Linked DNA regions of Sus scrofa. The protein of the gene in region 4 purifies or fractionates together with the protein of the main gene of each other region. This does not show direct contact. Links are inferred from orthologs where the notes say so. Each region holds a gene or a part of one and is shown on either strand. Other genes may lie near its edges.

Region 1 (6,338 bases), on a different chromosome or scaffold from region 4:
TGTGAGATACAAAATCAGTATATAAAAATTGATTGTATTTATATAGACTTGTCATGAACAATCCAAAAGTGACATTAAGAAAATAATTCCATTTACAGTAGCGTCACAAATATTAAAACATTTAATATTTAACAAATATTAAATTTAAATTTGATTCAACCAAAGTGTAAAACACTTTGAAAACTACAAAACATGTTGAAAGAGATTAAAATTCTAAGTAAAAGAGTTCCCGTCGTGGCTCAGTGGTTAACAAATCTGACTAGGAACCATGAGGTTTCGGGGTTCGATCCCTGGCCTCTCTCAGTGGGTTAAGGATCCAGTGTTGCCATGACCTGTGGTGTAGGTCGCAGACTCGGCTCTGATCCCCTGTTGCTCTGGCTCTGGCATAGGCCGGTGGCTACAGCTCCGATTCGACCCCTAGCCTGGGAACCTCCATATGCCGCTGGAGTGGCCCAAGACAATGGCAAAAAGACAAAAAAATAAAAATAAAAATAATTAAATAAAATTCTAAGTAAAAAATAATTATGTCTTCATGAGTTGGAGGATTTAACATTAAGGTGTTGGTACTCCCCAAATTGATCTGCAGGTTCAGTGCAGTTCATATTGGAATCCCAGCTGACTTCTTTGTAGAAATTGACAGGTTGATTCTGAAATTTATGTGAAATAGTAGTGCATCCAGATGAACCAAAACTATCTTGAAAAAGAATAAATAGGACTTATACTTCCTGTTTTTAAAACTTCCCACAAAAATGATAAACGGGGAGTTCCCATTGTGGCTTAGCAGGACCCAGTATAGTGTCCATGAGAATAAAGGTTCGATCCCTGTCCTTGTTCAGTGGATTAAGGATCTAACATTGCCACAAGCTGTGGTATAGGCTGCAGATGCGGCTCGGATCCAGTTTTGCTGTGGCTGTGGTGTAGACTTGCACCTATAGCTCCACTTTGACCCCTAGTCTGGAAACTTCCATATGCTGCAGGTGTGGCTTTAAAAAGAAAAAACGGTAATCAGAATTGTGTGGAGTTGGCATAAAGATACACATACAGATCAATGGAATAGAATTGAAAGTTGAGAAAACTGTGTGTCTCTGATCCAATGAGTCTGAGAAAGGGCGTCAAGACCATTCAATGGAGAAAGAATAGTCTTTTCAATAAATAGTTCTGGAACAACTGGTAGTCATATGCAAAATAATGAAGTTGGACCCTTACCTCACATCATATACAGAAATTAACTCAAAATGGGTGACAAACCTAAATGTAAGAGAATAAACTCTAAAACCTTTTGTGCTTCAAAGTACATCATCAAGAAAGTAAAAAGACAACCTATAGAAGGGAAGAAAATATTAACAAATTGTAGATTTGGCAGAATACATAAAGAATTCATACAGCTCAATGGTAAAAAAAAGACATAACCCAGTTTTAAAATGGTTAAAGAATCTGAATAGACTTTTTTTATGGAGGATATGTAGTTGGCAAATAAATATTTTAAAAGACATCTAGCCATCTAGACTGGCTAGAATCACAAGGTTGTTATACTTTTGATCTCATGTTAAGGTGCTATACACCTGAAACTAACACATTATTGTAAATCAACTATATATACTTCAATTAAAAAAAAGTTTCAATAGCAGGTATTGGTGAGGATATGGTTGGCAAACCTTGGTACACTTCTGTTGGGAATGTAAAATGGTGAAGCCATTTTGGAAAAGGTTTGGCAGTTCTTGAAATGATTAAACAATGTATATAAATTATATACCCAAGAGAAATGAAAACATTTCTGCATAAAAACTTGTCCACATGTATTTATGGAAGCACTATTTATAATAGCCAAAAAGTGGAAAGCATCCAAATGTCCATCATTTGATGAGTTGGTAAGTATAATAGAGTATGTATGTATGATGGGATAGTATTCAGCCAAAAAAGGGAATAAAGTACTAATATATGCTGCAACATAGTTGAGCTTTGAAAATATTATGCTAAGTGGAAGAAAGCCAGGCTCAAAAGATCACACATAATTCTATTCATATAAAATATCAAGAATAGGAGTGATCACTTTTGAGGTGGTGAAAATGTTAAAAAAATTAACTGTGGTGATGGTTGCACATAATTGTGAACATACTAATGGTACACTTTAATAAAGCTGTTGAAGTAATCATTTGACATTCCAGTGTGGGGGATCTGGGCACGTATATCTGTATGTTTAAAAAGCTGAAGTATTGGAGTTCCTGTCGTGGCTCAGCGGTAAACGAACCTGACCAGTATCCATGAGGATGCGGGTTCGGTCCCTGGCCTCGCTCAGTGGGTTAAGGATCCGGCATTGCGGTGAGCTGTGGTGTAGGTTGCAGACATGGCTCAGATCTGGAATTGTGGATGTGGTATAGGCCAGTGGCTACAGCTCCAGTTCGACCTCTAGCCTGGGAACCTATGGATCTGGTGTAGGTCACAGACATGGCTCAGATCCTGTGTTGCTTTGGCTGTGGTGTAGGCCAACAGCTGTATCTTTGATTCGACCCCTAGCCTGGGAACCTCCTTGTGCTGTGGGACAGAAAAAAAAAAAGAAAAAAGGCGAGCTATTAAAGTAACAGAGCTCTTTATGTTAAGCTAAGTTCTTCTGTTCCCTCCCTTTCTCTTATTTTTGTAGAAATCATGACTACCCCAGGAAAAGAGAACTTTCGCCTGAAAAGTTATAAAAATAAGTCCCTGAATCCTGATGAGATGCGCAGGAGAAGGGAGGAAGAAGGACTACAGTTACGTAAGCAGAAAAGAGAAGAGCAGGTAAGTCCTTTAACCTCATTAATTTCTCAGAACTAACATAATGTTCCATTTTAATCCTGACAGCAAACCTTTGTTTTAATTTTAATGATGTTTAATACATATGTGTGTGTATATATACATATATTACCTCCCCCCACTATAAAACCAAAAATCCTTTATTTTAGGTGTAGGAGAGTGTAGGTAATGAAAGGTAGGATATAAGAATGGAGAAATCTCTCAGGTTATTATGTTCCTAGTATAACCTCTGTTTAGTATTTTGGCCTGTTAAATTTTTCTAAAGTTACAACTTCTGTAAGGATTGTATATGTATATTAATGAATTCTCAAGTGGCCAATAAATTATTGCTTTTTATTCTGAATTTTAATTTGAAAGTTTATAAACATATACAAAAATATAGAGTAGATAATGAACCTCATAAACCCATCCTTTGGGTTGGGTTAAACCCATTATGAGGTTTAATTGTCAACAGTTTGCTGTATTTGATTCATGTGTCTATCTTTACTTTTTTTATTATGACGTATTTTAAACAAAATTTCAAGGACTAAGTCTTTTCACTCCTCAATTCTGTATAAAGACATTCAGGGCAAGGATTTTTGATCATTTTAAACCTGAGAACATCTACAAGTGATCCTAAGACTCACTCTCACTTGACCTTACTCTAAAAATACTCATAGAACAGGTGATCCATCACTTTTGGCAAAGAAATTTAAAAGATAGAATACTTAGGTGACTTTTTTTTCCTAAGACTTGAGCTTGGAAGGACCACTTGACCCCCATACTATAAAAGCTCTGTAAAAGGCATACCTGAGAAATAAGGTAATCTGATAAAAAATATTTTTTAGTGAGGTATTCTCGATATATACACTGTTGTTTTGAGTAGTTCACTAGATAATCCAGTTATGTGAAGTCCAAGAGTACATTACAACCTCAGTGTTTTGTTTAGGCTACAAATGTTTGAATCACTATGTCATTCTTACTGTTTGAGGGTAGGGACTGAGTTTGTAATATTGTAATACAGCTTGTATTAACTTCAGCAAATTAAGTTAGGAGTTTTTAACATTCTGCTTTATGATCTTTGAAAGCAACCACTTGCTCATAAAAGGATTAGTTTCTTTTGGTTTCTTGTTGCCTCTTTATTCCTCTATGTGTCTTATTTGAAGTGGAACCTTTTCTTTGGATGAGCGTTTATTTAGCTTCTGTTTTGGGGGTAAGTTTCAGAAATTACAACAGTACTGTTACATATTTATATTTGCATGTAAATATGAATACATGTATACACACCCAAGCACAAGTCTGAATATAACCAGTAGCCTATGACTTATATTTGGCATGAAGCCATTTGAAGATGTAGTAATGGCACTCTGCCATTAATAGTGTACATTTTATACTGTTTCTTTTTGGTGATGGGGATTTTGTGTTATTAGACTTCATTATAATATAAACAAAGTAAAATTTTCATATTCAGTTCCCTGAAGGCATGGTTTGTTTTTTTTTTTTTTTTTTTTTTTGTCTTTTTTTTTTTAGGGCTGCACCCACGGCATGTGGAAATTCCCAGGCTAGGGATCTAGTTGGAGCTGCAGCTGTTGGCCTGCACCACTGCCACAGCAATGCCAGATCTGAGCCATGTGTGCAAGCTAGACATGGCAAGTCCAGATCCTTAACCCACTGAGCGAGGCCAGGGATCAAACCCTCATCCTCATGGAAACTAGTCAGGTTTGTTACTGATGAGCCACAACTGGCACTTCTAAGGCAGATGCTTTATCAGGTGACAGGTATAGCCCCACTTATCTGACTAATAAAACACTGATAGTTGAAGTTCTGTCATCTTCATTGTATGTGATCTGAAACTGTGCTAGTGCTTTAAGATAGTTCTATGATAAGTTTCTGGAATATTGTTCTATTTAAAATCTTCCAAAAAAAAAAAAGGAGTTCCCGTTGTGGCACAACAGAAAGGAATCCGACTAGGAGCCACGAGGTTGTGGACTAGATCCCCGGCCTCGCTCAGTGGGTTAGGGATCCAGCGTTGCCATGAGCTGTGGTGTAGGTCACAGGTGGGGCTCGGATCTGGCATGGCTGTGGTGTAGGCTGGCAGCTGTAGCTCCAATTCGACCCCTAGCCTGGGAACCTCCATATGCTTCGGGTGTGGCCCTAAAAAGCAAAAAAAATAAAAACAAACCCAAAAACAAAAAACTTAATTTTGGGAGTTCCCGTCATGGCTCAGAGGAAATGAATCTGACTAGCATCCATGAGGATCCAGGTTCGATCCCTGGACTTGCTCATTGGGTTAAGGATCTGGCATTGCCTTGAGCTGTGGTGTAGGTCGCAGATGTGGCTCAGATCTGGAGTTCCTGTGAATGTGGTATGGGCCAGGGGCTACAGCTCCAATTCGACCTCTAGCCTGGGAACCTCCATGTGTCGCAGATGTGGCCCTAAAAAGACAAAAAATAAAAATAAATAAATAAAATCTTAATTTTGTTGTTTCATACATGCCATCTTATGTAGGGAGAACTCATAAAAACAAATCACGCTTCTTAATATCACATCAGTACTTGTTTCATGCCTAATTTGTAAAATAGTAAACATCAGTAAAATACAGATTCATTTAGGTACTGTTTATCTTCCCATAGTTGCTCTGTCATCTATCGGGAAAAATTACAGGCTTGGGCCAGCTGCACAGCTAGATTTGAGGGTAGTACAGGAGTTGATGCTGCCAAGTACACAGAAGATAACTGCATCTTTTAGAACTTTACTTGTAGCAGACTAGCACTTAATATCTGTTATTTATGTAGCACTGTATAAATGGCCTTTGTTTATTTGACACCAACAGATCAAACTAAAATTCATTTTTTGGCAAAAAATTTGCTAGTTGATGTCATTCTGATTGAGCCAGTTTTGTAATTTTTTCATGTATTAAAAGATGAACGTTTTACATTTACTATTAAAATACTTTGAATTGGAGTTCCCTGATGGCCTAGACGAGTTGGCACTGTTGTGGCTCTGGTTGCTGCTGTGGTGCGGGTTTGATCCCTGGCCTGGGAACTTCCACATGCCATGGGTGCAGCCATATAAAAATATACGTGTGTGTGTGTGTGTGTGTGTGTGTGTGTGTGTGTGTGTGTTAAACAGACTCTTGCTAACTCAGTGTGAGTAGGTAACATTAGTAACACTGAGATGCTAAAAAGTGTGTAAAACCCATAGTGATGAAGAGTGGGCGCTTGCTTGATGTTTTTATTTACAGGAAATATCTCATGAAGTGAACAAGTTGATAAAACTTGTGGACAGCCAGCCAACTTTTCCCACTGAATAACTTGGTTGATGAATTCAGGCAACATGTACTCTATATAAGGCATGCAAATCATGATTATTTTGGTAGTTTTTGTCTTTTATAAAACCTGTTTTTTGTGACAGCATGGATGTACTTTGAAGGCATTATGTGGAGTGAAATAAGCCAGAGAAAGATACATACTGTATGATTTTGCTTATATGTGGAGTCTAAAAACAAACAAAAAACCCAAACTCATAGGAAAAGAGATTAGACTTGTGGTTATCAGAGGTGGATGATTGGA
Region 2 (5,906 bases), on a different chromosome or scaffold from region 4:
TGGTGTTGCCTCAGCTGTGGTGTAGATCACAGCTGCGGCTCAGATTCAGTCCCTGGCCTGGGAATTTCCATATGCCTTGGTGTGGCCAAAAAAGAAAAATTTGCAGAATCGTGAAACTAAAGGGCAGAAACATCGATTTTACTGTATGATAATTAACAAAGAAAAGGAGTTTTTATTTCTGATTTCTGGTAATTAGTAGTACGTCATCCTGTTTTCTTTACATTGGTGTTGTCAGACTTCCAATTTGGGGTCCTTCTTTTCTTGTGATTGTTGAGTTCGAGATCTTGTTTTGAGGCTGTTGCTGTCATGGTGGCCACCAGAGAAGGATCCATCCGCTACTGGCCAAGCCTTGCTAGTGAGGACACCTACACAGAGACGACCGTGGACTCAGGAGGGGATAAGACTTACAGCTTCCTAACAGCCGTGCAGGTATATGATGGGCATTCTTTTACATTTACTGGAAAGCCATGATGAGGCCTCTAAGGGGGATTTGAACAGATCACACAGGCCTGTGGGGCTGGTGGGAGTAAAAAAGCAAGAAAGGTAAGGATCTAGGATTTGAATGCTTAGACAAGGGGAAGCCATGCTCATGGGTCTCTGAAATATCAGTAGTGCATAGTAGCCGGTGGTTTTCATTTCTTTCAGAAACACCTTATGGGAGTGACTTAGAAATTTTGACATGAGGAGTGGTTTGTTAATACATACTCTGCAGGTTTACTAAAGAAATAGAATCTGATGCTTGATTCGTTGAACCTACCTTATGGTGAACTTATAGCTTAAAAGTCAGAATTTAAGAAACTTGTAATCAAAAAAACTTCAACAAAGTTTTTCTGTGTAGAATTAATAATAGTAAGTGAATGGATTCATAAGTAAGTTATTTTAATAAAACAACAGTGTTCTTTTGGACTTAACGTACAGATGATTTTCCTAGTTATAAGAACAATTTCCGTTAATTTTCTTTTCTTAGTCTTAAATGCCTAACTGAACTAATTCCATGATATTTGTTCACAGGGAGGAAGTTTTATCTTGTCCTCTTCAGGAGGCCAGCAAATTCGTCTGATCCCTGAAAGTTTAGGAAAGATCCACCAGCATATCCTGCCTCAAGGGCAAGGCGTGCTTTCAGGAATTGGTCGGAAGGTTTCTTCTCTTTTGGGAATTTTGTCTCCTAGTAGTGATCTCCTAGTAAGTTGACGAAAGAACTCTTGTCTTACAAGTGTCTTTCTTAGTGAAATCAGTAAGTTTCCTGTGAAGTTTGTATTGCCTCTCTCTGACCAGTGATGTACATGAGATGGAGCCTTTGATTTTTCCAGTGAAGTGGAAATGATGATCAAATGAGTTCATACTAACCCTCTTGCATACCCTCTAACATTAATATTCTTAAATCACACAGATTATCTTGGAGGTACATTCTTTAAGTTAAAACTACAATGTAAAATTATAAATGTCTAGTTTTGCTTTCTAGACTTTACCAAAAGTGTGTTCTCCACTCCATCTCCTCTAGCTGTCTGCGTGGGTGACCCAGGTCTGTGTTGGCAGGGCTTCTGCCTCAGTTTCCCAAGGAATGGAAGGAGGATGATGGGAAGGAACAGGTGTGGGGCACCTGCTCCAGGTGTGAGCCAGGTGCTCTGTGCTTGCTGTCTCGTGTGATTACTAGTGGCCTGTAGTGTAGAGAGCTTTATCTTTGATTTGTGGGTGAGGACTGAGGACATGGCCTCAGTGAGGCTACAGACCACTCAGTAGACTCATGTCCAGGCCTTTTGGAATTGAAAGCTTTTTTTTGACTGTGCTGTTCCCTCTGTTTTCAGTTTGCTGTCATCATCTGCTTCCTTAAATTGTCTTTAAACCCAAAGCTTAATGTCTAAAAACAAATTCCTCCTATTCTCTTCTTTCCAACTGACTACAAGTTAACATACAGAGCTCATTTCTCTTTTGACTTCTCTATTTCTGAGGGCACCATCACTCTTTTTGGAGACCCAGGTATAAAACTATGATTTCTTTTTTTTTTTTTTTTTTTTGGTGTCTCCTCTCCTGGAGCGATGATCTACGAGGTACTCTAGGTTTTTACTTCTCCCACATTTCATTGCAGCTCCATCTTCCTGCTTCTGTTGTTATGCCCTAGTCCACACTGTTGGTAGATTTCCCCTAAACTCCTGGTGCCAGCCCACTTTATTCCCTGGGAGCACCTCCTATCCCATTAGTGGCCAGAGTCATAGTAGCAGGAGAAGTGGAGACATTTAGGGTTTTAACTCAAAACAGTCATGTGTACCCAACGAAAAGAAACACATCTCTACTGCAGAAGCAAGTATATACTTAAAAGTAACACACCTATGTATAACTACACACGTACCTGCCAGGTTCCCTTTCCTATGTCGCATCTCTTGCACTCAAAAGCCATTAGTATTATCACCCTTGCTTACTAGGTTCACAAACTCCCACTTGAGCCTCTGCTCTGTGTCCCTGGTTTTTCGCTAAACCCCATTTTTGCTTCTTTCCTAGTTATAATCTGCATTTCAGTTTAGCAGGATCACTGCTTGCTCACTACCCTGTGACTTTCCCACCTCCAACCCTGCTCTTCATGGACCTTCTGCCTTTATATTTCTGCCTATGGAAATCTTCCTTCCTTTCAAGGTCTATTTTAGGATCACTCCTTCCTTTGAGTCCTAAATGAAGAATTCTGTTTTAGGATTACTAATCAAGTAGTTATAAAATACACTAAGTTTGAGTTTCAGAGAAATAGTTCATTAACATTAGAACTTAATAACCTATAAACTTTTTTCTTCTCTCCATACAGCTTTCAAGTGTCCTTTGGGATAGAGAGAGATCAAGCTTTTATAGCCTGACAAGTTCAAACATCAGTAAATGGGAATTAGATGATTCTTCAGAAAAACAAGTACATAGTTGGGATATAAATAGAGTCCTGAAGGAAAACATTATAGATGCTATTTGGGTAAGGAATAGTAGCATTTGTTTCTAATTCACAATTGTAAAGTTTTAGCCATCACATAAGCAGAAATGGAGTATTCAGTCTTTAGATATTGGCATTCATTGATGCACTTAATTTTTAAAATGCATGCAGTATTCATTCAGTAACAGTTTGAACTACTGTGGCTGAGGCACTTTACTCAGTGCTGAGGATATAAAGTGGAAAGAAATGATTCCTGTACTCCAGTAGCTTACATTACTGATGTTTTCATCTAGGGATCTGAAAGTAACTATGAAGCTATTAAAGAAGGGGTCAACATTCGGTATTTGGATTTGAGGCAAAACTGGTAAGCAATTCATTTGTCATAAAGAACATGGTAGTTGTTTGGAGAAATAAGTTGATCTTTACTATAAAATGATGATCAGTCTTGCTCTCTGTTCTTCTAGTGCCTCTAATGCTAACCTTATAGTGTGATGCCTTACTAAATGGTTTGGTGTTATCTAATGATGCTAATTCATTTAAGAAGTCTAGGTGCTTGGCAGCCTTCAGCTGTGTGTCACATTAGCTGTCTGCCCTAGCTAGGGATGCAGCTTTTCTGCTGTTACAGCTGGAGCTCCTTGTTTTTCTGTGCTTAATTAGAGCTGTCTTACCCACTGTGTTGATTTGAAGTGGAGTGTCGTTTAGTCTTTAGCTTGGTTTAGTATTTTTAGTTGTTAGTAGAGGGTGCTTGCCACCCTTTTAATATTTCTGAGACTTGAATGAAAGCTGCTAAAAAATGTACTAAATATTGTAGAAGGTTTGAGATTAGAGACCATTTAATTCTTTTTTGGGGCAACAACTTTGATAGACTTAAGAGGACCATATAAATCTTAAGATGAAAAAAGTTTGTTTTCACATATACATGAAAGCCTCATTTATGGAAACTCACCTGGGCTTAGATTGGCCTGAGAGCTGTGCTTTGCCCGTCCCTGTGTTTAATGACTTGTTGATCTTTTTTTAAGTCAGATTTATTGAGTTACATTTTACATACAGTAAATATTTTCCACCCTTTTTAGTGTATAATTCAGTGAGTTTTGACAGATGCATAGTCAGTTAATTGTAACCAGTCAAGATACAGAATAGTCCTATCACTCGAAAAATTCCTTTGTAATCAACCCCTCCCTTCTCCACTTTCAGCTCCTGGCAACCACTGATGTGTTTCTTGACCCTGTACTATACATGGAACCATATGTTATGAAGCCTTTTGAGTCTGGCTTCTTTCATGTAGCATAATGCACCTGCTGCTTATTCAGTGCTTCCTTCATTTTTACTGCTGAGTAGTAGTCCATTGCATAGGTTTACCAGGGTTTGTTTATCTGTTCAGCAGTTGAAGGCTATTGAGTTGTTTCCAGTTTTATGCAATTATAAGTAAAGCCACTAGAAACTTTTGCACACTGATTTTTTTGTGTGAACACATGTTTTTATTTCTCTTGGGTAAACTTCTAGGAGTGGGTTTGCTAGGTTACATGGTAAGTGCATATTTAACTGTAAGAAATTGCTAGGCTGTTTTCTGAAGAGGCAGTAGATCTTTCTTTTTCACTGATTAGTGATGGACTTCTGATTTTGGCTGCGGCATGGCACCTAGCAGACAATCCATGTCTCGTCTATTACTCTCTGATAGCAGTGGAAGATAATGGCTACCAAATGTCAGATGCAGTAACTGTAGAAGTCACTCAGTATAATCCACCTTTTCAGGTAAGATATCTGTCTGTAAGTTTTTTTTTGTTTTTGGTTTTTGTCTTTTTAGGGCTGCACCTGCATCATATGGAGGTTCCCAGGCTAGGGGTCGAATCAGAGCTCTAGCTGCCAGCCTATGCCACAGTCACAGCAACACCAGATCCAAGCTGTGTCTTCAGCATACACAACAGCTCATATCAGTGCTGGATCCTTTAACCCACTGAGTGAGGCCAGGGATTGAAGCTGCGTCCTTACAGATGCTAGCCAGATTCTTTTCCACTGAGCCACGATGGGACCTCCCTGTCTGTAAGTGAAATTACACAGTGACAATAACATACTGAGTTATTTTTCCTAACTGTTGCAGGGCCAGATTCTTTGAGAAATTCATCTGCTGGCTCGGAAATACATTTTAAATTGCTAGTTTGGGGGCATTGGATCCTGTCTGCCGTGTTAAACACATTCCTTTCCCTTGGATTAGCTAAAGAGAAGTGGGAGTGGAGCGCCTGGCAGCAAGTGTGTTTCTCCTGCTCCCACTCTGTGAAGGGATTCTTGTTTCTTTATCACTGAGTAGAAAGAAAATGCTGACCATGAACTGCAGAGTGAAAAATAAGGAAGGAACCTGATAGGAATTGGGCTTTGGTTTCACCCCTGCAAATTAAAGGGAAAAAAAAAAACAAACAATTTTTGCTCAGAGATTATATTGGAGGCAAGTACATTAAATACTCATCAAAGTTCATGTAAACAATTAGAAGGTAAGCTCTCTAATTTTAAGCTTCTTAATGGCAATTGAACATTGTTTAATAACTATGATGTTCGTAAGGAGAGGTCTTAATGCTGTAAATTCATTTCTTTTTTTTTTTTTTTTTTTTTTTTTTTTTTTTGTGGCTGATCCCATTGTGCCACGGCAGGAGCTCCTAAATATTCATTTCATTAAACTTTGTATAGTATCTAATTCTGCAGCTCCAATTTGACCCCTAGCCTGGAAACTTCCATATGCTGCAGGTACAGCCCTAAAAAGAAAAAAAGAATAAGAATTCTGCAGAATTAGGAGTTCCCATTATGGTGCATCGGAAATGAATCCGACTAGGAACCATGATGTTGTGGCTTCAAACCCTGGCCTCACTCAGTGGGTTAAGGATCTGGCGTTGCCGTGAGCTGTGGTGTAGGTCACCGACTCGGCTCGAATCCTGTGTTACTGTGGCTGTGGTGTAGGCCAGCAGCTGTAGCTTCTATATGACCAGCCTGGGAACCTCCATATGCCATGGGT
Region 3 (5,906 bases), on a different chromosome or scaffold from region 4:
GACTGGCAAGTGCTCAAAAACAAGCAACTTATTTATCTCTAAAACGGAACCAAAAGGCTTTCTCAGTGAAAATTCATTCTGAACTCTTAACAGTAAGGTAGAATATTAGGTTTTTTTCCCTCTACCCCAGAACAGGTAGGTATTTTTGGCATGCAGCATATCAAAAATATGATCTGGAATTGAAACTGTAAAACAATAATCCTTTGAAAGAAAATTAGTTAATAAACATACCTGTCCTTCCACGGGAAACACAATCTGAACTTTAAACCCTGGACACACATTTTCAACCTAGTTTAATTCCAACACTCCATTTTGGCTTCATGGGAAATGGCTCAAAAGGAGGAGAGAACACAAACTGGTAAAGAAAAAAAGAAAAAGCCACTGGGGTACTTGGTATTTGTCAAGATACAACACAATCTGATTTAGAATCAAAGATACACACACACCCTTCAGGTCACATTTGTGGTAACACTCCTTACAGATTCTCAAACTAAAGATAAAAAGTCCAGCCCACATTAAACATTTTAAATCCTCATTTATAATAATTTGTTAAAAATAAATCTGATCCCATGGGGCAGAACTGCGCCGTTAAGACAGTGGGGATGAACAGGCAGGCGGGCCCGCCAGGGGCCGAGGGGCCCTCCCCTAACAACACACACGGCCTTGGATTTTACAGCGAAACCCACACACACTCGGGCCTTCATACTAATACGTGATTCAAGTGGAGACCAGCGAGTTCCTAGAACACTGAGTGATTTTAAGAAAAGATCACATTTTGTCGTAGGGTGTACACATCACATTTTCCCCGATAAATTTTCCCTTTAACAGTACAGTCTGAGCAGCAAGAATTTGCTGGGAATGTTAGTTAAAAAGAAAAAAAAAAGCAAGCAAGCCACACATACCCATTAAAAAGACAAGCAGGGCTTAAGAGGTAATCCAGTCCTGACTGCTAGAGGCCATTTCTGGTCGACTCCACATCACAGCAAAGGCAAACCCAACACCGCACAAAGCCTTCCTTCGTAAAGATGCCGCCACCGTGCGCCTGACTTTCGGGCAGGACCTGGGAGCATGTGCGGCTGAGCACGCGGCTCGGCTCGAAGGCGAAGGCGCCGAGTTTGTTCTGATTTCCTCCACTTTGTCACAGCTGCAGAGCCCTACTGTTCTAACAGTACCGACCACGTGGTCACTAAAAATCATCCACAACAAAACTCAATAGTCTCACTTCTAAAAAGTTAAAAGCAACAAGTGCCACTTCCTCCCGCGGCCTCACAACACGAAGGAGTTTAACCACATCCCCCAGTATATGGCGAGCACACCTCTCTCCACATGTGTCTGTCTATTCGAAGTCACGCACTGGGCTTCCAACTCTCCCAGGGCCATCAGGGAAACGAGAGGAGAACGCCGAGAGTCGCGAGATAAACGCGGCCCGCGTACCTTACCCCAAGTGTGTTCAGAGTAACGTATCTGACCGCAAGGAGGTTTTCCCGCCCCTTAACATCTGAAAATTACAGTTTTGTTTGTTTTAAGCAACTCTACCACCCAGTTACTTTGACTCTCCCAAGTCAGAAAATAAATCATGGCTGAAGATGAGCCTGTGGCAGTGCTACCAGCCCCCAGGCACAGACCCTGAGACTCAACTGAAACAAGATGCGCTGGTGCCAGCACCGAACGGCTCGAGAGGAATGAGAGTGGGCGTTGACAACCTTCAAATTCACATCAAGTTCACAGGTCCAGAGCCTTCAAAGAACACGAGCCTCAGTTACTGACAGCTGTGGAGAGGTGACACGGGCGTTCCTGGGCACAACCATGGCTCCCTTTCAGACGGACATGTGGCATACTCTACTTTTTTTTTTTTTTTTTGGTCTTTTTAGGGCTGCACATGCAGCATATGGAAGTTCCCAGGCTAGGGGTCCGCCACAGCCACAGCAACGCGGGATCCAAGCTGCGTCTGCGAGCTACACCACAGTTCACGGCAACGCCAGATCCTTAACCCACTGAGCAAGGCCAGGGATCGAACCTGCATCCTCACAGACACCAGTCAAGATTCATTTCCACTGAGCCATCACGGGGACTCCTGGATTACCTCACTCTTAAAAAAGTAAACGGAAATTTCAGGTACCAAATGCAAAATGCACTCCTGTCTAAAAGCTAAAAGCAACCTTTACACACACACTTTTCTCTCCCGTCACCTCACTGCCTATTTCCTGGGAAGTTCGCACGGCTCGTGTAACGAACGCCCCCGTGACATAACAAGCAGGTTTTAGATCCACGGGGTTCATCGTGGCACAAACACCCTTTTCCACTTGCTGCACAGCTTAGCCCTGACTCTCTAATAAGGGTTTACTGTCCTCTGTCTACAAACTACAGGCTACCAAGTTTGTGCTTTGCAACCTCGGTCCTGGCGATCCCCCAGCCCATTTGTCTCCAGGGGATACAGAAGGAAGAGCACCTCATGAATATGCCTACAAACCCACAGAACAAGCCACACATTTCCTTTGAAAAAGAAAAAGCAGTTCCAGAACCACAGCAAAGCAGCCTCTGGGGTTAAAGGCCAGCGTCTGCACAGAAAAGGCTGAGGACTCCAACGCTGAAGGCAGACACTTCAGCTGTAAAATAACACAATAAAATAAAGCAAAGAGGAACCGTCTCTGCCCCAGCAAGGCAGTTCGGTTCTCTCGGACACCCATCGGCCAGGGCCAGCAGAAACAAGAGCGCTCCCGGCAACTCCCTTCTGGACACGGGGCGGCAGCGAGCCCCAGCCCCTGGACCGGAAAGGCCTTTGGGAAATCTACTCGATACCCTGATTGCAGTTCATTATTAACAAATCACTGGTGATTAGTTTAATCAATGAACATTAAAAACCTTCCAAAAAATTTCTTTCAAATATATTTTACACATTAGATAGATAGCTTTTAAGAAGGGAGAATACAGTTTCTTGACAGGTAATATTAAAGGTTTTATTGGCCATATTTATCTTCCTCACAAAAGTTTTAAGTTATCTCTAAGTTCTAGAATGTCAAAGAAGAGAAGAAAACTAAGTTTAAAGGGCAGTGGGGAAGCAGCAACTTGGCAACAGCTCCTCAGGGGAAGCGTGTTCAGGAATCCTTCTTCTCCAGTAAAATTTTGTGCAACTCATCTGCGTCCTCGCTGGTTTTCACCCGAATTAACATGGTGACCGGGACGGAGGCGTTGGTGGCATCGATGGGTGGGTTCGGAATGAGCAGGACCAGCACGTTGTTCTTCCCCGTGCGGCTACACGGCATGTTGGGCGGAATCAGAACGTTGAGCAGGATGTTGCCTGCGGTTAAACACAGGAGAAAGGCCATCGGACTCTACCCGCCACACACACAGCTCCGTGAAACTGCGGCTTGAATTCGGATTCGGATGCAGCTCACACTTGATGGATCTAAAATGAGGAGCCATGGGAGTGGCATGGCTCCCTGACAGACACCAGCACAGTGTCCCCAAGAGGACCGTGAGGCGTCCGGCAGGACATGGACTCAGCCGCGGTGAGGAGCAGCCGCCTTTTGCCACCTCCCACCCCCCGTCTCCCACCGCCACACCAGCCCCCCCCCCCAGAACACACTGGGCCCCCCGGCCCCCAAGGAACAACCCGCTGGCCCGACGTGGCATCTTCACCATGTCACTTGAACACGGAGTGGTCACCACTCTGTGGTCTCTGCCACAGAGGCCAGCAGAGTTCATGGGGTGAGCGTGGCATTACTGTGACAGTGTCCCAAGAAGTTTCTTTCTGGGACCCAGTCGGGGCAGCACCACTGCTGAGGCCCCAGCCGAGGGGCGACCCCCTCCTCCCAGTGGGTAAAGCTGGACGGTGGGGTAAGAGCGGAGGGGAACAAGTTAATGATTATTTGCTACATAACAATGATTCCTTCCATTCTTCTTCAAGGTTAATCCTCCCTGAATGGTTACTAAATGATCCAATTTACCTACAGCTTCTTCGTCACAGTCCTAACACAAAGGAAAATGAACCACTTCGCTTACTTCTTGGCAACGGTTTTTAATACATCTCGGTTTTCTCACACACAGAGTACCCGGTAATGACCTGGTACTCAACTAAACCTATAAATGCTCAGCAGGTACAGGATGAATTTGTCCCGAACAATCTCCGTTTTGTTCCAAAAAACACATTAAGATTCCTGAAAATCTCAATGACTAGGAAAGGCTTTCACACAGTATGTGATTACGCTTGTTTGTGCCACCTGGGAAAAAAAAGTACCCACCTAAATTGGTTTCTGCGCGCACTAAAAGTTGTGTCTTCTGATTGGCTGTATGTTTTAAATGCAGAGTACCCACACCTTTCTCTTTAAATTCATTGTCTTTCTTGTAAAATAGTTTACACCTATGAAGAAAGATAACGGGTATGGTCAGACACGGTGACAAACCACGACAGTCAGTTTCAAAGGGCCCGCTCACACTCGTGGGAGCCTGGTACTCAGCGACGGCGGGGACGCTCAGGAGACTCTCCTTCTGACCCAGATCAGGTCTGGGCACAAGCCAGAGGAGAGAATCTGGTCAGACAGTCTAGAGTCCCTCCACGTTTTTTAAATTATTACACAGTGGGCCCTGAACAACTCTTTAATGACGCTTTCTGAAACTACCTTTTCTTAAAAGTCTGGAAATCGTGGCCAGGCACCCCCCTCCCTGATGTGCTCCTTTGGCCCTGAGTTCGAGAGCGCTGACCTGGCCTTTAGAGAACAGGAAGGAGTACAGGCCACTCCACGCTGCCCCTCCCCTTGCTGTTTCTTATTTTTGAATTCTCTGCAAGACTCTGATCTCCCAGGACACTGAAATGAGTCTGGAAAACACACTTAGGCAAGGCCTGCAGATAATGTAATCAAATATCTCCTCGGCCTCCAGTCACACATCTCTTAAGGTTATCAATAAAGCAAAACCTGGGAGTTCCCGTCGTGGCGCAGTGGTTAACGAATCCGACTAGGAACCATGAGGTTGCAGGTTCGGTCCCTGCCCTTGCTCAGTGGGTTAACGATCCGGCGTTGCCATGAGCTGTGGTGTAGGTTGCAGATGTGGCTCGGATCCCGCGTTGCTGTGGCTCTGGCGTAGGCCGGTGGCTACAGCTCCGATTCAACCCCTAGCCTGGGAACCTCCATATGCTGCGGGAGCGGCCCAAGAAATAGCAAAAAGACCAAAAAAAAAAAAAAAAAAAAAAAAAAGCAAAACCACTGCCTGCTCCTATTTTTTCTGATCAGAAAAAACTTAAGTCAGAGTCATTCCTTTACGGCATCATGTGTAATTAAACTTTTAAACAAACAAATGAATTGTTAGTCTATGAAAAGTTCTCAAAGACAGCCCCACTTAAGAATCCCACAGGTTTTGCTGATTTACTCTACAAAAACTGCTGACTCTTAAGTCTCTGATTTTTGTATTAGAAGTGGTGTAGGTCACAACTCTGGCTCGGATTCTTGGATGTGATCCCTGGCCCAGGAATTTCATGTGCCACGGGGCAGCCAAAAAAAGAAAAAAAGAAAAAGAAAAAAAAAAGCACTGATTTCATTTCATTGAGAGAGAATTTAAAAATGGCTCTTTGGCTTTCTTCTGGAAGCAGGAGCTCTCATTAAATAAGCAAACAACAAACAAACAAACAAAAAACCCCCAGCTTTCATCACTGGGGGAAGGAGAATTTATACACCCTTAATGGGAAGGAACGGCTGCCCTGCCTTATGTTTTGGCTGTGAGAAGATTCACCCGGGCCAACCGTGTGTCTCCAGGAAGGAACCAGAGGTGCCTCCTAATTTCAAAGCAGAAGTAAAACCAAATCTGAAGCCAGTGATGAGGGGATGTCTTTGTAGGGGAGGGAGAAGGGGAGAGAAGGAAGGAGAAAAAGGGAGAGAAAGATGAGGTGGGGCAGGTGGAGCAAAGAAATGACA
Region 4 (5,906 bases):
GTCCTGTATGTCTGAGAAACCAGGTACGTTTATGGCTGTTTGGAATAATTTTGTTCATTACTTTAATAGAACATTTTAATTTATTCTCTGTAAAACAGCTAAGAATAACCTCAATGTTTTAGATGTTTCAGGATGCGCATTTCCTCGTACATTAATTTTTCTAAACTGTCTTGAGAGTAAAATGACTTGTTCGCAACTGAAACTGCATGTCCTATTAGGATAGGCTTTGTGTTAATCAGTCCAGCATTTGCTTTGACCTCTTCTTTGTATGCACTTTTATCAGGAACTTTGGGCTCTTCACCATCATTTCCAAAGTTGGCTAATATGGATGCAAAGGCCTTAGAATGGGAACCATCATTTCCAAAGTTGGCTAATATAGATGCAAAGGCCTTAGAACGGGACAGTCTCTCTCAAACCTTTATGCAGAATGAAATATTACTTTGTCTCTTTTCCTTGAAGTAGAAGTGAGGATGGCTGGTGGTCATTTCCGGGACAGTTTCATTAAAGGGTAGATGGTATTGCTTTATGAGAAGGCTGTGGCTGAATATTCACCCATGTGCCAGACATATTGCAATGATCTTAAAATAGGCAGCCAGAAAAATGGAATTAGGTTTGAGTTCTGTTTCTCTGTTCAATTTTGAAAGAGTTACTGAAGATTTAAATTGATCTTTAATTCATTTGGAAATGACTTTTTGATGTTTTTGTAATGCTTTTATATAATTATTTGGTATAGATATGTAGTAACATGGATACTAAATAAAACATGTTATGAGTATCCTGGGAATTATACTTCCTATTTTTATTGCCTCATTCATGGATGCGTGGTTTTGTGTCTGCAACGGAAAACTCTTGGGTTAATAGCCCAGACCCCTGTCTTAATACAAGGGGTGAGCCTTATTCATAATTCCTCCTAGACCTCTCCACAAGAATGATTTCAGAATCTCTATTCTAAAATAGGTTTCTCTTCCCATCTGGTATTCCTCCTCCTCCCCTTAAAAAGAAAGAAAGAAAGCCCTGATGCATGCAAGAAACCAAAATTAATTGAGTTGATGGGAGAATAAAACTGAGTCAGGAAATTGTTATACAGAAACAAAGGAAGCTCATATATATATGAAAAAACTTCCACTTCATCCTTTAGCTGAACCACCATTATAAGCAGAAAATGATCTGGTCAAACTTGTAATTTTGGTAAATCACTCGGTGGCTTTTTGGAGGATAGATTTGAAGGCAACAAAATTTGGAGACCAGAGGACAGATTAGGAAGTTATATCAGTTATATAGGTCAAGATCCTAGTGATGTGTACTAGTGGAATCAAATAAGGATTAGAGGGGGCCGTAGAATAATGTGCAGTTGGAGACATGGTTGCTTTCAAGCTGCTAAAGTTGACAGATAGGTGTGAAGCCTTTGGTTACACTGACGCTGGACCCTCTGGGCTGGAGATACAGATCCGGGAGGACTTAGCCCAGAATTTTCAAGTCAGTCATGGGCGTAGAGGTGATGTGAGGTGAATGAGCAGAGCAAATAGACAGCCTAAAACAGAACTCTGCTAACTTAAGGGAGTAGCAGGAATAAAACTTTGGAACAGTTAATCTTTTAAAGGAGTAACCAGAGAGGAAAATCAAAAACCACACGGTACTGGTGCTTTTTAGAGGATGGATTTCAAGGGAACAAAAAGAACCTGACGTAGTGTGCGTGAGGATGTGGGTTTGATCCCTGGCCTCCCTCCGTGGGTTAAGGATCCGGCGTTGCCACAAGCTGCGGGGTGGGTCACAGATGTGGCTCAGATCCAGTGTTTCTGTGGCTGTGGTGTAGGCCCATAGCCACAGCTCCAAATCAACCCCTTGCCTGGGAACGTCCATGTGCCACAAGCGCCACCCTAAAAAAAAAAGAAAAGAAACAAAAAACAGGGCTATTAAGCAAGAGGTGAGGGAGCTCAAACCAAAATAGCAGGAGAAGGGTCAGAAAAAGAATGAAATGTATTGAATGTGTAAGGGTAAGGGAAGAGTTGCCATCTAGCCAGGGTAACCAGGGGGATAGTGGAACCACCGACAAGAGGACAGCACGGGGAGGAAACCTGAAGAGTGGGTGGCAGGTCCAGATCAGAAGATGGTTTTGTTTGGTGATTAAAATGTTCGGAGTCGAGGAGAGCTTGTGAGAAGGGCAGTGGACCAAAGATGGAACGATTTTATTGGCAGGATGGAAAAGAACATACCAGTAAACGGCAGATCAGGTAACTGGGAAAAGTGACGACAGTTGGAGAACATTTAGAGAAGTGGGGGCACCAGAATGAATGGCTCCGCTCTCGACACTATTTCTTCATGCACCTGCGCCTCGCTGAGCCATCCTTCCTGTGCTGCCGCCTCTCCCCCACAGTTGCTAGTTCTGCTTAAAAATGTAAATATCAGCTCTGTGACTCCTTCTCCTGTCCTGTAGTCCTTTCCTCTTTGTCCTCTTGTTTAGATCATGTGTTACTCTTTGTCCGTAATGGTGCTACTGTGCATTTATGTTTGTTTTACTTCCCCCTTTTTAGACCATGAGCACCTTTAGAAGTTAAGCAACATCTTGTTCATCTTGCTCTCCGCCCCCAGAACCTAAGAACGTTATGGTGCTTATTAATTCATGTCTGTTAGATAGCTGCTTTATAACAAATGCTGTGGACGGTAGTCAGTAGTATCGAGTTGAATTGCAGAGTGGCCAGTAGAACATTTCTATGCAAAATTGTCATTTCAAAGCAGAGCCCTGTCCTTGGCAATCTTGAAATGAATGTGGTCTAGGCTCTGTATTTTATGTTTTAGACTGTTGCCTACAGTTTGGAACTTACATTGTATAATGCTGTGAAATTTGATAATGAATCTTAAGGAGAATTGAGTCTTTTAGGCTCTGAAATATGAGCATGATTTTTAAAAATCCTGGCTCTTCATAATTGGGGTTAAGAGGGAGCTCATCATTGCACAAGGTTTGTGAGTTGCTCATTTATAAGATTAAAAGAAATCTGAGATGTCTGTATTGTTTTTAACAATGTAATGTTTAGACTTCTGGCATTTTCTCTATCTTAATAAACTCTAATAAGAATGGAAATTAAGACTTGGTGGTGTCACTGAGATATTGACATGATGTAAATTAGGAATTTTCCTGTATTTCTCCATTATTTTTTAGGAAGTTCAGTACCTGCTTCAAGTAGCAGCACTGTCCCTGTCTCTGTGTTGTCTGGAGGCTCCCTAGGATTGGACAAGTTTAAGAAACCTGAGGGAAACTGGAACTGTGATGTGTGCCTAGTGGAGAATAAAGCAGATTCCACCAAATGTATAGCATGCGAAAGTGCAAAACCAGGCACCAAGTCTGAGTTTAAAGGTAAGGTCTTAGTAAAGCACTTTTTTATGTTACAACTTTAAAATGAAATATAGGTAAACAGTTTTGGTTTTAAAATGATTTGTTCTTTATTGAAAATCCATGTAAAATGAGGAGTTCCTGCCATGGCTCAGCGCTAACGAACCAGACTAATAACCATGAGGACGCCGGACACGAGGATGCAGGTTCGATCCCTGGCCTCGATCAGTGGGTTTATGATCCGGTGTTGCTGTGAGCTGTGGTGTAGGTCGAAGACACAGCTTGGATCTTGCTATGGCTGAGGAGTAGGCCGGCAGCTACAGTTCCAATTTGACCCTTAACGAGGCCCTAAAAGGACAAAAAAAAAAAAAAAATCCATGTAAAAAGAGGTATTGTCCTGGACCTTAGCTCCTATCTCTAAATTACTATAAAAACCAATCATTTGCTGGTTAGCAGTAAAGATAAGTATATTTTCTATTCATTTTCATTTTAGAAGGAAGATGCTGGTTGTACCCACTGAATTAATTGCGTGACTGATGGGGTACAGCTGGCTTAGAAAATGCTGCATTTGGATTTCCTATTGTAGTGCAGCTCAAACGAATCCAACCGGGTACCATGAGGTTGTGGGTTTGATCCCTGGCCTCGTTCAGTGGGTTAAGTAAGGATCTGGCGTTGCCATGAGCTGTGGTGTAGATGGCAGACATGGCTCCGAACTGGTGTTGCTGTGGCTGTGGTGTAGGCCGGCAGCTATAGCTCCGATTAGACCCCTAGCCTGGGAAGCGCCATATGCCGTGGGTACAGCCCTAAAAAGATAAAGACAAAAAAAAAGAAAAAGAAAACGCTGCATTTGGGTTTTAGCAGAGCGCTAAAGCTCCTTCTGTAGCTGTTAGCTCAGGTCCCTTTCCCATGTTCCCGCCTGTAAATACAGTAATTACCATACCGTTAAATCCTCCTTTTGAGACAGAGGTGATAACTAGTTAAGATGTCTTTGGCACCTTGATTTTTAGCTTTCTGTCTGATATCATTTAAGGTATTTTAGAGACCATGTGGGTGGCCAGTTGCTCCTGAAATTCTGACATAATTTTTCAAATAAATTTCTTAGGGAAAAGAAAGTGAGGTAGGTAATGGCTGTCACTATCTTTATTTATACCTGGGGGAGCAGAGTGATGGATCAGTAGCTTGGCACTGTTTAATGATTTCTGTGTTGAGCTGGTCATTTAGGTGCTTCATTTCTGGTTTATTCCACTAAAGAAGCATTCCGAAACCAAGGTACTGATCTTGTCAGAATAGTATTTTTATCTTTTAAAATATTGTTTCCACTCCTAAAATTCTGGTCCTTTTTTTTTTTTTTTTAATTTTAGGGCTGCACCTGCGCCACATGGAAGTTCTCAGGCTAGGGGTCCAATTGGAGCTGTAGCCACCAGCCTACGCTAGAGCCACAGCAACATGGAATTTGAGCTGCATCTGCAACCTACACCACAGCTCACGGCAACGCTGGATCCAGGGATTCAACCCGAGACTTCATGGATGCTAGTTGGGTTCATTAACCACTGAGCCATGACGGGAACTCCTAATTCTGCTTCTTTGAAGTGAAAAAAAAAAAAAAAAAATTTTTTTTTTTTTTTTTTTTTTTTTTGGTCTTTTTCTAGCCTTTTCTAGGGCTGCTCCCGCGGCATATGGAGGTTCCCAGGCTAGGGGTCTAATTGGAGCTGTTGTTGCTGGCCCACACCAGAGCCACAGCAACTCGGGATCCGAGCCGTGTCTTTGGCCTACACCATAGCTCACGGCAACAACGGATCCTTAACCCACTGAGCAAGTGCGGGGATTGAACCCACAACCTCATGGTTCCTAGTCGGATTCGTTAACCACTGTGTCACGACGGGAACTCCTAATGTGAAAATTTTTAATTTTTATAAATAACACATTTACTCACAAGACTTAAGCAGATTATGACAGAATTCACAGTGAAATGTCTGTCTCTTGTCCTCATTGGCTCGTTTTCCATCCTTCCCCCCATCAAAGGTAATAGCTCTTTGTTGTTAGCTTCTCGTAACTGGTTCAGAGTTGCTTTATGCACATTAGAACCAAATATACTTCTCCATATTCTCGCTTCTGTCTACCTTGTTAGAAAAGGATGTATACCACACTGTCTTCACCCTTGGCTTTACCACAAAGAAGCTTGGACAGAGTTTGTTTTTCATTCATCACTTACAGCTGTCTGGATTGCATATCCTATTTAGTAGTTTATCATAAAAATACTCAGCTGTAAAATTGCCGAGTCAGAGGGCACAACATGAGTTTGTGATTAGGAGTAAATACTGACAAGTTGCCTCCTGCAAGTTTTGTGCTAATTTACACATCCACCTGCAGTGTCTAAAGTGTCTATTATTCCTAGTCTCGTCACCAACACTCTTTCATCAAACTTGTTGCATCTCTGCCATTCTGATGAAAAGTAGCACATCAGTGTGGTTGTCAAGATCAAGATGTGCTTCTCCCGCTGAATGTATGGGTAGTTCGGTTCATGTTTACTAATACTTTGCAGAGTAATCACTGTCTCCCTTTACTTTTCAAGGTTTAC
Region 5 (6,532 bases), on a different chromosome or scaffold from region 4:
ACTGAACCTCATGGACAGTTGTTGGGTTCCTTAACCACTGAGCCACAATGGGAACGTCACCATTCATTCTTCTTAAATGCTGTCTGTACAGGATGGACCTGTCAGTGCTGTGGTGTGGGTTGCATCCCTGGCCCTGGCACTTCTACATGCTGCAAGCACAGCCAAAAAATTTTTAATTTAAATTTTAAAAAGCTGGAGTTCCCGTCATGGCGCAGTGGTTAACGAATCCGACTAGGAACCATGAGGTTGCGGGTTTGGTCCCTGCCCTTGCTCAGTGGGTTAACCATCTGGTGTTGCTGTGAGCTGTGGTGTAGGTCGAAGACACGGCTCGGATTCCACGTTGCTGTGGCTCTGGTGTAGGCCGGTGGCTACAGCTCTGATTCGACCCCTAGCCTGGGAACCTCCATGTGCCGCGGGAGCGGCCCAAAGAAATAGCAAAAAAACAAAAACAAAAACACAAAAAATAAATAAATAAATTTTAAAAAGCTGTACAGGAAACTCACAGTATAAGTTTATTTATACATTTTCCTATCAATGGACATTTACATAAAATTAATCTTTTGTTATTATCATATGGCAGGGAGCATTGGGATAACTTATCTCCTTGGGCATATGTGTGAGTTGAACTCTAGGGCATCTCCCTAGAAATGGAAATAGATGGTCATGAGCTATGGACATTAATGTGTGTTTTATTCCATTCTACTCTCCCAAGAGGCCAAACCAATTTACACTCTCACCAGGGGCATCAGCTCTACTTGATGTTTTCGTGGGGGGTGTCTAGGGAGTCCTCAGACTTGACTTTGCAGCAGGCATGTGCTCAGATGTGCTGTGTCCAATATATCACGAGTTCCCAGTAGACTAGCCTGCAAGTATGCTCAGGACTATGTGGCTAACTCCTTGGTCATTTGGGTTCTCTTTGCTCTGAGAAGAGTCCCCAAGGTGGAATCTTTTGAGGAACTTGGCTATCCTGATATGCTTGCTTGGGGAGAGGGGATCAACATATCAGTTTGAGGAGTTCCTTGTCGTGGCTCAGTGGTTAACGAATCAGACTAGGAACCATGAGGATGTGGCTTCAATCCCTGGACTTGCTCAGTGGGTTAAGGATCCGGTGTTGCCGTTAGCTGTGGTGCAGGTTGCAGAGGTGGCTCGGATCCTGCTTTGCTGGGGCTGTGGCGGAGGCGGGCATCTACAGCTGCGATTAGACCCCTGGCCTGGTAGACCCCTGGCCTGGGAATCTCCATAAGCGTTGGGAGCGGCCCTGAAAAAGGCAAAAAGACAAACAAAACCATATCAGTTTGAGAATCTGTGGCTGTTCAGACAAATGCCAAAACCTGGCCTTTAGATTTACGATGTGAGGTGGGAGGGCTCCGTTTGGCCAACGGCTTTGCTCAAAGCAAGTGAATGGGAATAACCAACACTTGTTGAGTTTGAGGTGTACCTCATTTTCTCTCTTGGACAATGGCCACAGGTGGATATGCCCTGGAGAATTAAGTTCTATGAGTGCACAGTTCTTGTCTGGACCCTTGACAGCCTTACCCTCACAAGAGTCTGGAACCTAAATACTCAATGACTGGAACCTAAATACTCAATGACTGCATGCCTGTTTGTCTCAGAAGAGCTGCCAAGGTGGAAACACTACATTGCATCATCCTGTTTGCAGAATAGGGCCACAAAGGCTGCTGACCACTTAGATGCTCAGAGAAAAAAGTGACTGGCATTTCAGGATGGGAAAGACATTGGTCTTTGCTTCTTTTACTCTCCAGAAGGTCCTTACTGAGATGGGGGTGAGGGTCAAGGGCAGGGGCCAGAATACCGGTGGGTGGGGGTGGGGCAGCACGCACCCCAACATGGCGCCCGCTCGGGGCCTGCGGTGCCGCGTTCGTACAGCTGCGAGGGGGGGGGGGGTCAAAGGCTTTGTGTGGGCCACCCCGCGAGTTTCCCGCCCAAGGGGGCCTCGGCCCTCTCCTCCCAGCTCTGTTCCCGCGGCGGCAACAGGGCGCGCCGCGTCGCTGTCAGCGCATGCGCGCGCGGGAACCCGCCCTCTAGGCTGGCGCACGTGGCCCGGCAGCCCGACGTGCGTGCGCGCGACCGCCGGGCCTCCCGCGTCCGGGGCTCCGGGAGCCTCTCCCTCCTGGACGACGGGTGCGGCCGCCAAAGCTGTGCTGTGTGCGTGTGCGCGCGCGCGCGCGCGCCGGGCCACGTGGGAGCGGCGCGGCGCCGTTGCCCCGCCCTCCCCCGGCGCGCGCCGGCGTCGTCTGCGTCTCCGGGCATTTGAATTGCGCTTCCGCCATCTTTCTAGCCCTCAGTCAGACGGGCGCGGAGACGCTTCTGGAAGGTAGCGGGGCAAGGGTGGAGGCCGAGGAGCCAAGGCGGGGATGGGGGGGTCGGGGCGTCCCGGTGGCTGTGGCTAGCGGCAGCCATGAGGAGGTGGTTTCGCGGGGCCTAGGTGTCAGGTGGAAAGCTCTCTTTCCTGGCCGCGGAGGCCCCGGGCCGGCGCCGGAACCCGGGCCGCAGTGGGCCGGGCGGGCGGAGAGGGTCCCCGGGGCGGCCAGGCGGAGGGGAGATCGGGCTGGAGGGTCCTGGCGGGGGCCAGGGGCGGCTGGGCCTGGTTGTGCTACCGTGACCAGGCGCTTTCCGCGCCCCGGTCTCCGCGCCGAGCGAGCCTCCCTTTCGCCCGGCCTCCGCGCCGACTGGGCGCGCGCCGGGCCCCGGCGGCCGGAGGAGCCCGGCTGAGGAGCAGCGCCGCCGTCGCCATTGGCGCGCCCTCGGCCGCCCGCGTGCGGTGTCGGGGGAGGGGGAGTGGGCGGCGGGGCTCCGGGTTGGAGGCCTTTGTGGGCCCGGGCACGTGGGGCGGGTCGGGCCATGCGGCCCGCGCCGCTGTGCAGCGGGCCTCACTTCTTTCTCCTTCTCTCGCAGTAACATCACGATGGCTGCCCAAGGAGAGCCCCAAGTTCAGTTCAAAGTAGGTAATCCTCGTGAGTTGGGGATCTGCTGCTGTGGACCTGAGGAGGGGATCTGCGGGGGGGGGGGGCTCTTGTCCAAACGGGTTTCACAGGGTCTCCTTTATGACCGCAAACCTGTGTCGAAGGCCCACTTCGTCTGCCAACATGTTCGTGCCGCGGCAGGGCCTTCAGCCCCCCGATAACGGGGTGGGGGTGCTGGCCCCACCCTACGGATAGGGAAGCTGGGCAAGGGAAGTTTCATTGGCTCCAGTCATTCATTAATATGGGACAGGGCAGCTTCATTAAGATTCTTTGTTTTAAATATACTTAAGGGATATTTAAAGTTCTGTTATGTAAGTGCAATGGGTGTCCATAAAATCTTAACTACATAATTCTGAGATCCTGAAATGTTGCGTGTCTTGGTGTTTATTTCAAAAATGTCTTTCGACAGCTTGTATTGGTTGGTGATGGTGGTACTGGGAAAACTACATTCGTGAAACGTCATCTGACTGGTGAATTTGAGAAGAAGTATGTAGGTACGTAGGGGAAAACCATTGATGAAGATGTGTGCGAAATGGATGAGTTCAGCGACTAACTGGAAGTGCTTGTGTTTCAGCTACCTTGGGTGTTGAGGTCCATCCCCTTGTGTTCCATACCAACAGAGGACCTATTAAGTTCAATGTATGGGATACGGCTGGTCAGGAGAAATTTGGTGGACTGAGAGATGGCTATTATATCCAAGGTAGGTGCTTGATTTGTAACCAACAGTTTTCGAGAGGATCTGTGAGTTGGTCTCCAAGGTTGCTTATAAATAATCCGATCTAGTCCAGTAGACTCATGCATAGTACTGACTGAACTGGGAATCGGGTAGTTGGATCCAAAGGATGTGCTGGCTTCAGGGACTTGACCATCATTTGAGGGGCAGAGAATTTTGTGAAGTTTGTTATGTGCCATTTGATTGTGTCATGATAGGCACGGTTTTGGAAGAAACTATGGTTTGTGTTCAGGCTCATAACTTAAAACGCCACAGACAAGCTGTTACTGGAGCTCCTGTATTTGAAAACTTGGGAGTGTTTGAATATATATTTTGGTGATTTCAACGATTATTTCTTGTGCACTCCATTGAAAAGGTAGTAAACATTTGAGCAGATGCTGGACCAGAGGAGCTAGGTCTTCTGTCTTATAAAATGTTGTATAGGACCAGCTGATTTCTTTTTAAATGTACTAGGTCTTGTGGAATATTTATTTCAAAGTGCTTGGTTTAAAAAATGGAAGGAAATAAGTGCTTATACCAAGAAAAAAAGATGAATAAAGAATGCTTATTTCCTAGAATCTTTCTCTTTTGATGAAAATTGTTGAGAATCTTTCCATGTCTTTTGCTTTCCTTGGGTACATACAAATGCAAGGATTCCCGCCAGCCAAATCTTTTAGCTACAAATCTGTGTGATACACTGTGCCTACTTAGTGGCTTAGCAGCCTTATTATGGCTGTTCTATAAGACAATAAATACGGGCTTCACTGAACTTTTGAAAACAGGCACACTATATATTCTCATGTATTTATCTATTTAAGAACCTTTTAAAGAATAGATTCTTACATCCTATATGTGGAAGGTGAGTTCTCTGGAATGCTAATTTATTGTTAATCTACATTGGGTATTTTTTTTTTGAATGAGGCAGAGTTTATGATGAATTACTACAGGTGGAGAGATTTCATATGGTAGGCTGGTCTTTCATGCTTTCACATACAATAAAAGAGAATTTAAAATAATGTATATTTAAATGGTCTAAGATTTTTAGAATTGGTATAGACCTTGCAATTGAATAGAGAAATTAGAGTTAGGCCTGAGATTATGAATCTGAGTCCATAGTTTTCAACATTTTTTTCATTTGGGTAGTAAATTCCTTGGTATGTACTAATTGCTGTACATTTTCCAGCTCAGTGTGCCATTATAATGTTTGATGTAACATCGAGAGTTACTTACAAGAACGTACCTAACTGGCATAGAGATCTGGTACGAGTGTGTGAAAACATCCCCATTGTGTTGTGTGGCAACAAAGTGGATATTAAGGACAGAAAGGTTAAGGCAAAATCGATTGTCTTCCACCGAAAGAAGAACCTTCAGGTACATTTCTTAAAACTTAAAATTTCTGAATTATGATCCTTGGGTAAAATTATGATACAGGAACATTAAAGTAATTCATAATGTTTTTGACATGGATTTTTTATTTATTTATTTTGGCATATTAAAGTTCCAAGGCCAGGGATTGAACCTGCTGTGCCACAAAGGAAGTTCCAATATGTGGGTTTTTACAATTAGTTTTATTTCTCTTTTAAACAGTACTACGACATTTCTGCAAAAAGTAACTACAACTTTGAAAAGCCCTTCCTCTGGCTTGCTAGGAAACTGATCGGAGACCCTAACTTGGAGTTTGTCGCCATGCCTGCTCTTGCCCCGCCAGAGGTGGTCATGGACCCAGCCTTGGCAGCACAGTATGAGCATGATCTAGAGGTAGGATGCTTCCATTTTAGTAATGCTGTAAAAGATTCCTAATGGTTTGCCTCTGGAGTATTACAGCTTTTTTATATCTTGTCTTTAGGTTGCTCAGACAACTGCTCTCCCGGATGAAGATGATGACCTGTGAGAAAACAAAGCTGGAGCCCAGCGTCAGAAGTCTAGTTTTATAGGCAACTGTCCTGTGATGTCAGTGGTGCAGCGTGTTTGCCACTTTATTATATAGCTAAGCAGAATATGTGCTTAATCTTTGGGGTGCTGAAGGAGATGAATGGGCTTCGGAGTGAATGTGGCAGTTAAAAAAATATACCTTCATTTTTTGGACCTGCATATTTAGCTGTTTTGGAACACAGTTGTTTCCTTCTTGAGTTTCAAATATAAGACTGCTACAGTCGCATCACAATATTCCGTGGTGAAATCTTGTTTGTTACTGTCATTCCCATTCCTTTTCGTTTAGAATCAGAATAAAGTTGTATTTCAAATATCTAAGCAAGTGAACTCATCCCTTGTTTAAGTGAGCATTTTAAAACCACTAAATTGTGCCATGTTACTATTTTGGATTGCCTTTGCTATTACCATTTAATTTGAAGTTTATTAGGTTAAGTACTTCTAATTTCCTGTACATCTGAATCATTTCACACAAGATGACAGGTCAGCAGTATTGTATTCGATAAGAGTTGTAAATATTGTCAATGCAGTTAGGCTAAAAAAATACCTACTCCACCTGCTTTTTGGCCTATAGTGTTAGCTAGGGAAGAGCTTGTTTGGGATTTATGTGACCTGTGAAAATAAAAGTGGTACATGTTTTAGACATTTCAAATAGATACCTTAAGAATTATATAGTTGCTTTTATGGCGGAAGTAACAATGTTCTAATGTAGAGCTTTTCAAAGTCCGCTGAAACCATACAAATGGTTTCAGAAACTGGAGGGATGTCTCACCTGTTTAAAATGAATATGAGTTGTGCATTTACTTGCCTTTGTTTTAATGTTACGTGTTTAATGTAAAGTTGGTATTCTAGGATATTCCTGTTTACCTGCTGCTTTCAAGTACTCCCAAGCTTTAATGATGTCAAA

The links.
Region 1: the proteins of NUP153 (region 4) and KPNA1 purify together in Homo sapiens (affinity purification with mass spectrometry; 3 studies listed by BioGRID and IntAct, with this or other methods). This does not show direct contact. The link is inferred for Sus scrofa from reciprocal best matches to the Homo sapiens genes NUP153 and KPNA1.
Region 2: the proteins of NUP153 (region 4) and NUP133 purify together in Homo sapiens (co-immunoprecipitation; 3 studies listed by BioGRID and IntAct, with this or other methods). This does not show direct contact. The link is inferred for Sus scrofa from reciprocal best matches to the Homo sapiens genes NUP153 and NUP133.
Region 3: the proteins of NUP153 (region 4) and NUP50 purify together in Homo sapiens (affinity purification with mass spectrometry; 8 studies listed by BioGRID and IntAct, counting the BioPlex papers as one, with this or other methods). This does not show direct contact. The link is inferred for Sus scrofa from reciprocal best matches to the Homo sapiens genes NUP153 and NUP50.
Region 5: the proteins of NUP153 (region 4) and RAN purify together in Homo sapiens (affinity purification with mass spectrometry; 5 studies listed by BioGRID and IntAct, counting the BioPlex papers as one, with this or other methods). This does not show direct contact. The link is inferred for Sus scrofa from reciprocal best matches to the Homo sapiens genes NUP153 and RAN.

The regions. Positions count from the first base shown.
Region 1 is NC_010455.5:138,042,445-138,048,782, forward strand, and holds the start of KPNA1 (importin subunit alpha-5), read left to right. Parts: upstream 1-2,638; 5' UTR 2,639-2,643; coding exon 2,644-2,772; intron 2,773-6,338. UniProt on the Homo sapiens protein: Functions in nuclear protein import as an adapter protein for nuclear receptor KPNB1. Binds specifically and directly to substrates containing either a simple or bipartite NLS motif.
Region 2 is NC_010456.5:60,362,490-60,368,395, forward strand, and holds part of NUP133 (nuclear pore complex protein Nup133), read left to right. Parts: intron 1-294; coding exon 295-429; intron 430-1,011; coding exon 1,012-1,182; intron 1,183-2,791; coding exon 2,792-2,947; intron 2,948-3,198; coding exon 3,199-3,269; intron 3,270-4,509; coding exon 4,510-4,657; intron 4,658-5,906. UniProt on the Homo sapiens protein: Involved in poly(A)+ RNA transport. Involved in nephrogenesis.
Region 3 is NC_010447.5:4,198,022-4,203,927, forward strand, and holds part of NUP50 (nuclear pore complex protein Nup50), read right to left. Parts: intron 4,361-5,906; coding exon 4,242-4,360; intron 3,299-4,241; coding exon 3,096-3,298; 3' UTR 1-3,095. UniProt on the Homo sapiens protein: Component of the nuclear pore complex that has a direct role in nuclear protein import. Actively displaces NLSs from importin-alpha, and facilitates disassembly of the importin-alpha:beta-cargo complex and importin recycling.
Region 4 is NC_010449.5:13,409,975-13,415,880, reverse strand, and holds part of NUP153 (nuclear pore complex protein Nup153), read left to right. Parts: coding exon 1-23; intron 24-3,157; coding exon 3,158-3,352; intron 3,353-5,906. UniProt on the Homo sapiens protein: Component of the nuclear pore complex (NPC), a complex required for the trafficking across the nuclear envelope. Functions as a scaffolding element in the nuclear phase of the NPC essential for normal nucleocytoplasmic transport of proteins and mRNAs.
Region 5 is NC_010456.5:24,313,566-24,320,097, reverse strand, and holds the start of RAN (GTP-binding nuclear protein Ran), read left to right. Parts: upstream 1-2,073; 5' UTR 2,074-2,335; intron 2,336-2,916; 5' UTR 2,917-2,926; coding exon 2,927-2,962; intron 2,963-3,393; coding exon 3,394-3,478; intron 3,479-3,558; coding exon 3,559-3,684; intron 3,685-4,879; coding exon 4,880-5,067; intron 5,068-5,283; coding exon 5,284-5,454; intron 5,455-5,542; coding exon 5,543-5,587; 3' UTR 5,588-6,532. UniProt on the Homo sapiens protein: GTPase involved in nucleocytoplasmic transport, participating both to the import and the export from the nucleus of proteins and RNAs. Switches between a cytoplasmic GDP- and a nuclear GTP-bound state by nucleotide exchange and GTP hydrolysis.